Anolis sagrei: one gene and its partner. The protein of the gene in region 2 purifies or fractionates together with the protein of the main gene of each other region. This does not show direct contact. Links are inferred from orthologs where the notes say so. Each region holds a gene or a part of one and is shown on either strand. Other genes may lie near its edges.

Region 1 (3,752 bases), on a different chromosome or scaffold from region 2:
AAACCACTGGACGAATTGACTGCAAATTTGGACCTATCAGGCCAACGAGTGTCCATCACCCCTAAACCACACACAAAAAACCATTCGAACGGGCTTTGAAACCCCCAAAATAAACCATATATTTTGGTTTATTTTGGGGGTTTCATATGTGTTCATACACATATACACAAGCACACATACATAGACACAAACACACACATATATACACACACACATAAACACAAAAATACTCAAATATATACACATATACACACACAAACACACATATGAGTCCCCCCCGGGGTGAGAAGGGCGGGGTATAAGTAAATGAAATTAAAAATATATATATACATATACACAAATATATACACACATTACAATGCATGTGCAAAACTACATATATGTACGCAAGCACACATATATACACAAATACACACACACACACATATATATATATATACACACACACACACACACAGATATACACACGCAAACTGGGCCACAGCAACGCATGGCAGGGGACGGCTAGTATTATATATATATTACTATACATTATAAGATTATATCATATTATATTATAAGATTATAATATACATCATTTTAAAGAAATGACATATATTAAAGCAACTGTGATGAATAAAAGACAATATAAACTATCTATTTTATAGAAATGACACATATTTATGCAACCTATCCTTTGCTTTAATATACAATAAGTAGGATATATAATATAATATTAAAATACACATTATTTTTAAGAAATTACATATATTAAAGCAACTGTGATGAATAAAAGACTATATAAACTATCTATTTTTAAGAAATTGCACATATTTAACCAACTTATCCTTTGCTTTAACATACAATAGGTATGATATGTATTATAATATTAAAATACACATTATTTTTAAGAAATTGCACATATTTAAGCAACCTATCCTTTACTTTAACATACAGTAAGTATGATATATAATATAATATTAAAATACAAATTATTTTATAGAAATTACATATGTTAAAGCAACTGTGATGAATAAAAGACAATATAAACTATCTATTTTTTAAAAATTGCACATATTTAAGCAACTTATCCTTTGCTTTAACATACAATAAGTATGATATGTAATATAATATTAAAATACACATTATTTTAAAGAAATTACATATATTAAAGCAACTGTGATGGATAAACTACTTATTATTAAGAAATTACACATATTTAACCAACTTATCCTTTGCTTTAATATACAATAAGTATGATATATAATATAATATTAAAATACACATTATTTTAAAGAAATGACATATATTAAAGAAACTGTGAAGAATAAACTACTTATTATTAAGAAATTACACATATTTAAGCAACCTATCCTTTGCTTTAATATACAATAAGTATGATATATAATATAATATTAAAATACAAATTATTTCATAGAAATGGCATATATTAAAGCAACTGTGGTGAATAAAAGACAATATAAACCATCTATTTTTAAGAAATTAGACATATTTAAGCAACTTATCCTTTGCTTTAACATACAATAAGTATGACATATAATATAATATAATATTAAAATACACATTATTTTTAAGAAATTGCACATATTTAACCAACTTATACTTTGCTTTAACATACAATAAGTAGGATATATAATATTAAAATACACATTATTTTATAGAAATTACATATATTAAAGCAACTATGATGAATAAACTATCTATTTTTAAGAAATGACACATATTTAACCAACTTATCCTTTGCTTTAATATACAATAAGTATGATATATAATATAATATTAAAATACAAATTATTTTTAAGTAATGACATATATTAAAGCAACTGTGATGAATAAAAGACAATATAAACTATCTATTTTTAAGAAATGGCTCATATTTAACCAACTTATGCTTTGCTTTAATATACAATAAGTATGACATATAATATTAAAATACACATTATTTTTAAGAAATTGCACATATTTAAGCAACTTAAAACCTTTGCTTTAACATACAATAAGTAGGATATATAATATAATATTAAAATACAAATTATTTTATAGAAATTACATATATTAAAGCAACTGTGATGAATAAACTACTTATTTTTAAGAAATTACACATATTTAAGCAACTTATCCTTTGCTTTAACATACAATAAGTAGGATATATAATATAATATTAAAATACACATTATTTTAAAGAAATGACACATATTAAAGCAACTGTGATGAATAAACTATCTATTTTAAAGAAATGACACATATTTAACCAACTTATCCTTTGCTTTAATATACAATAAGTATGACATATAATATAATATTAAAATACACATTATTTTATAGAAATGACATATATTAAAGCAACTATAATGGATAAAACGTCTATTATTAAGGAATTACACATATTAAAGCCATTCAGAGGTTGCTATGATATACTGTACCATTCATTATGTATTATATAATAATAATAACATATAACAATAACATATATAAACTGAGGGGAATAAAATGCAATGTTAAAATGTCTATTCTGAAGGAATTGCATAAATTAAAGCTACCCAAAGGTTGGTTTAATATACTATAAGATATATTACATATATATATAGACCATCAAGACTAAACTACATCTCTTAAAGCCAGAATACATCTACAGCCATTACCCTCCGCTTCCTTCGTGCGTCTGCCGCCTCCTTCGCCTCATCCCCACAGAGGCGCATACTACTTCGCTGCCACACGCCGAGCTCTCCGTCCCGCCCCTTGCCTCCTAACGTACCCAATAGCGTCACGCCGTGGTCCCTCTGCCTCCCTCCTATTGGTCCCGCGCCAAGCTGAGGGAATTTCCAAGCCCCGCCCCTCCACCCTTCTGCAGTCAGGCTTGGTTGGAGCAGCTGTCCACACTCACACACGAAAAGGGGAACGAGAGGAGGCGTCTGATTGGCTGACGGGGTGAGTTGCCGTCTGGTGATTGGCTAAAAAAAGAAGGCCGGCCTTCTTTCGCCCCGCCCCTAGCGAACCAAACGATGCGTGCGTTTGATTCGTCGAATCCTCGCTAGGCCCGCCCATTTGTCTCCCGATGAGTGGTGGCAGGAAAAAAGGGCGGGGCGAAAGTAGAGCGAGGGTTCCAATTGGAGGAAAGGGCAGCTGTTCAAAGGTTGTGTTTACAATTGGCATCAGGCTGTGAACATAGGGAATAACAGCAACAATAACAACAACAACAATTGGGCTTGGGGTAGAGCACAACACTTGATAATATTATTATGTAATATACAATATAATACTACTAATAATAACATGATATTATAATTTATTTATTTATTTACTTTACTTATATACCACTGTTCTCAGCCCGAGGGCGACTCACAGCGGTTCACAACCAGTAAAAACAGCAATAATTCAATGCAATAATGTAACAACAATTAACAATTAACATATTATCCAACAATAGAATTACTACATTAACCAATCACTAACGTCTCATCATCTAAAAACATAATCCAAAATTCATCATCCATTGTTCCATTCCTATGTTCATTGCCAGTCAATTGCACTAGTTATTCGAATGCCTGCACAAATAGCCAGGTCTTCAGTTTCTTGCGGAACACCATTAGAGATGGTGCCAGCCTAATGTCTGTGGGAAGGGCGTTCCACAGCCAAGGAGCCACCACCGAGAAGGCCCTATCTCTCGTCCCCGCCAGCCGTGCTTGAGAAGCAGGCGGGATCGAGAGCAGGGCCTCCCCGGAAGATCTCAAAGTCCTGGTGGGTTCGTAGGC
Region 2 (3,752 bases):
AACGGTAGAAAACTGTAGTTATGAAGTAGCAATGAAAATAATTTTATTTATGGTTGGAGGTCATCACAACCTGAAGAACTGTATTAAGGGGCCACGGAATTAGGAAGGTTGAGAACCACTGATCTAAAGGAAAACATTGCTGGCTCATCATGGCAACTAGATGGTTCCCTAAGCATTCCATTCCTGCCAGCCAGCTATGTTGCTGTGTGCCTTTTAAAGTGGTTTTCAACTTCTGCCAACCCTATTATGGGGTGCATCATCTCCATTGTAGAATGAATGCAGCTCGACACCCCTTTAACTGCTTTGGCTCAATGCTATGGGATGCTGGGATTTGGTGAGGCACCAGACCTTCTTTTTTGCAAAGAAAGCCAAACTAAAACTCCCAGCACTCCATGGAGAGACTTATTTTGCATAGAATTATGGAAAAAAATAGACCCATGTATGATTCCACAGAAAGCTGGCTTCAGGAAAGGCAAGAGCTGCACGTCACAAGTACTGAACCTGATTCAGTACATAGAAGATGGCTTTGAAATGCAGCAGATCTCAGGAGCTGTCTTCATAGACCTGTCAGCAGCTTATGATACTGTAAACCACCGCCTCCTCCTAAGAAAAATGTATAATATCACAAAGGACTACCACCTCCCACGCCTCATAGAAAACCTGCTACAAATCAGGAGCTTTTTTGTTGAGTTCCAGAGCCAGAGAAGCAGATGGCGGAAGAAACAGAAGAACGGCCTGCCTCAGGGGAGCGTGCTTGCTCCATCAATGTTCAACATTTACACAAATGACCAGCCACTGCCAGAAGGGACAGAGAGTTTCATCTATGCTGATGATTGTGCCATCACTGCTCAAGCAGGGAGCTTTGAGACGGTTGAACAGAAGCTCTCCAAAGCTCTAGGTACTCTTACTGCCTATTACAGAGAAAAACCTGCTGATTCCTAATCCATCTAAAACACAGGCATGTGCCTTTCACCTTAAGAACAAACAAGCATCCCGAGCTCTGAGGATCACCTGGGAAGGAATCCCACTGGAGCACTGCAGCGCACCCAAATACCTGGGAGTCACTCTGGACCGTGCTCTTACCTACAAGAAGCACTGCCTGAACATCAAGCAAAAAGTGGGTGCTACAAAACAATATCATACGAAAGCTGACTGGCACAACCTGGGGATCACAACCAGACACAGTGAAGACATCTGCCCTTGCGCTATGCTACTCTGCTGCTGAGTATGCATGCCCAGTGTGGAACACATCTCACCACGCTAAAACAGTGGATGTGGCTCTTAATGAGACATGCCGCATTATCACGAGGTGTCTGCACCCTACACCACTGGAGAAATTACACCACCTGACATCCGCCGGGAAGTAGCAGCCAATAGTGAAAGGACCAAGGCAGTGACATCTCCAGCCTATCCCTTGTTTGGGTATCAGCCAGCACGTCAATGACTTAAATCAAGAAATAGTTTTCTAAGATCTACAGAGACACTAACTGGAACACCCCAGCAAGCGAGAGTCCAAAAGTGGCAGGCTCAAACCCAGCACCTCAATCCATGGGTGATATCAAATGAGAGACTTCCCCCTGGGCACACAGAAAACTGGGCGACTTGGAAGGTGCTGAACAGACTGCGCTCTGGCATCGCAAGATGCAGAGCCAACCTCAAGAAATGGGGCTACAAAGTGGAATCCACGACATGCGAGTGTGGAGAAGAGCAAACCATGGACCACCTACTGCAATGCAACCTGAGCCCTGCCACATGCACAATGGAGGACCTCCTTGCAGCAACACCAGAGGCACTCCAAGTAGCCAGATACTGGTCAAAGGACATTTAATCAACTACCAAGCTTGCAAACTTTGTGTTTTGTCTGTTTGTTTGTTTTGTTAAAAATGTAATACAAATGTCTGGTTGCTGATGACACGATAAATAAATAACTTCTGTCAACCCTATCCTGAGGTGCATCGTCTTCATCGGCACCACTTTAACTGCTTTGGCTCAATGCTATAGGATCCTGGGATTTGCTGTTCTCTTTGGCAAAGAAGGCCAAACTACAGCACCTCCCAGGTCTCCACAGCATTGAACCATGGCAGCTGAAGCGGTGTCACTGTATTGAGCCTACAATGCAGGTGCACCCACTAGATCAGTGGTTCTCAACTTGTTTTGGCCTTCAACTCCCAGAAATCCTAACAGCTGGTAAACTGGCTGGGATTTCTGGGAGTTGTAGGCGAAAACACTTGGGGACCCACAGGTTGACAACCACTGCACTAGATGTCCTTGGCAAGATCTGTTTTTTGGGTGGGGGTGAAGCAACCCAGGGCCCCCCAATGCAAGTGATGCCTCCAACATTGGAAGGATGTACCAAAAGGGAAGCAGAAACTCGACTTAAGCAACTTAGTTTCATTTTCGAGGGCGCCTCTTCCTCCTCCCTCTCCGTCTGGGCCCTAAACACCAACTCAAGGAGGAAGTCACCCACAACCAACCCAAGACTCTGCTATAGGGTCGCCCTCGGTCTAGTCAGTGAAAAGGGACACTTCCTCGTCGGTCCTTTAAGGGAAGTTGCCTTGGAAGCGCCTTGGGGCGCCACTTTCTCCAGAAATAGGGAGGGGAAGAGGAGAAGAGGGAGCAGCAGCAGCCCCGTTGGGCCCTTTACCTTCTCTTCGCCCTCTTTTGTGCCCTTCGAGGGAAGGCGATCCTACAGATCTCTGATCCTTCTTCCTTCCAAGAAGGAGGCGCGCCTGGATGGCTCCCCTCTTGCTTCCTCTTTCGCGGAAGTTTTCTCGGGGAGGAGTTTCGCCGTGACCAAAGAGCACGCGGGGCACTTCCCAGCCTATCCTCCCGCCCCTTCCAGGCCAACTTTTCCTTTTCCTTTTCCTTTTTTTTCTTCCAGAAAAGGCTGGGCTTCAGTGACCCAGACAGGCTGCACCCACACTGCAGAAGTAATGTCGCTTGGCATCACTTGAACTGCTTGGGACCGAGGGAGTTGTAGTTTTACCAAGTACAGATCAAAACTGCAACACCCAGGATTTTATACCAAGTGGGGTCAACCTGCAATCATTCTGCAGTGTAGATGCCCCCCAAATCTTTCAAGGAAGGCCTGTTCACGTCAGCATATTTTTCAATTTTAATCTATTACATTTGGCCCAGCCATTTTAAAACTGTTTATATGTCGCTATTGATCACTGTTTTGTTATGTGCATCTCCACTGAAGAAATAATGCAGTTTTGGCACCGCTCTGGCCCCTTCTACACACCCCTGGATCCAAGGCTCTGAGCCCAGATCTGAGCATCCCGAGCTCTGAGGATTACCTGGGAAGGAATCCCACTGGAGCATTGCAACACACCCAAATACTTGGGAGTCACTTTGGACCGTGCTCTGACATACAAGAAGCACTGCCTGAACATCAAACAAAAAGTGGGTGCTAGAAACATCATACGAAAGCTGACTGGCACAACCTGGGGATCACAACCAGACACAGTGAAGACATCTGCCCTTGCGCTATGCTACTCTGCTGCTGAGTATGCATGCCCAGTGTGGAACACATCTCACCACACTAAAACAGTAGATGTGGCTCTTAATGAGACATGCCGCATTATCACAGGGTGTCTGCAATCTACAATCAAAGAGCATTCTGAACTCCACCAACAATGGAATTGAACCAAACTTGGCACACAGGACTTCCATGACCAACAGAAAACACTAGAAGGGTTTGGTGGGCATTGATCTTCAGTTTTGGAGCTGTAGTTCACCTACACCCAGAG

The links. The genes of interacting proteins can lie anywhere in the genome.
Region 1: the proteins of RIPK1 (region 2) and CYLD purify together in Homo sapiens (affinity purification with western blotting; 5 studies listed by BioGRID). This does not show direct contact. The link is inferred for Anolis sagrei from reciprocal best matches to the Homo sapiens genes RIPK1 and CYLD.

Annotation. Positions count from the first base shown.
Region 1 is NC_090028.1:32,385,681-32,389,432, reverse strand, and holds the start of CYLD (ubiquitin carboxyl-terminal hydrolase CYLD), read right to left. Parts: upstream 2,739-3,752; 5' UTR 2,643-2,738; intron 1-2,642. UniProt on the Homo sapiens protein: Deubiquitinase that specifically cleaves 'Lys-63'- and linear 'Met-1'-linked polyubiquitin chains and is involved in NF-kappa-B activation and TNF-alpha-induced necroptosis.
Region 2 is NC_090024.1:87,468,559-87,472,310, forward strand, and holds the start of RIPK1 (receptor-interacting serine/threonine-protein kinase 1), read right to left. Parts: upstream 2,807-3,752; 5' UTR 2,645-2,806; intron 1-2,644. UniProt on the Homo sapiens protein: Serine-threonine kinase which is a key regulator of TNF-mediated apoptosis, necroptosis and inflammatory pathways.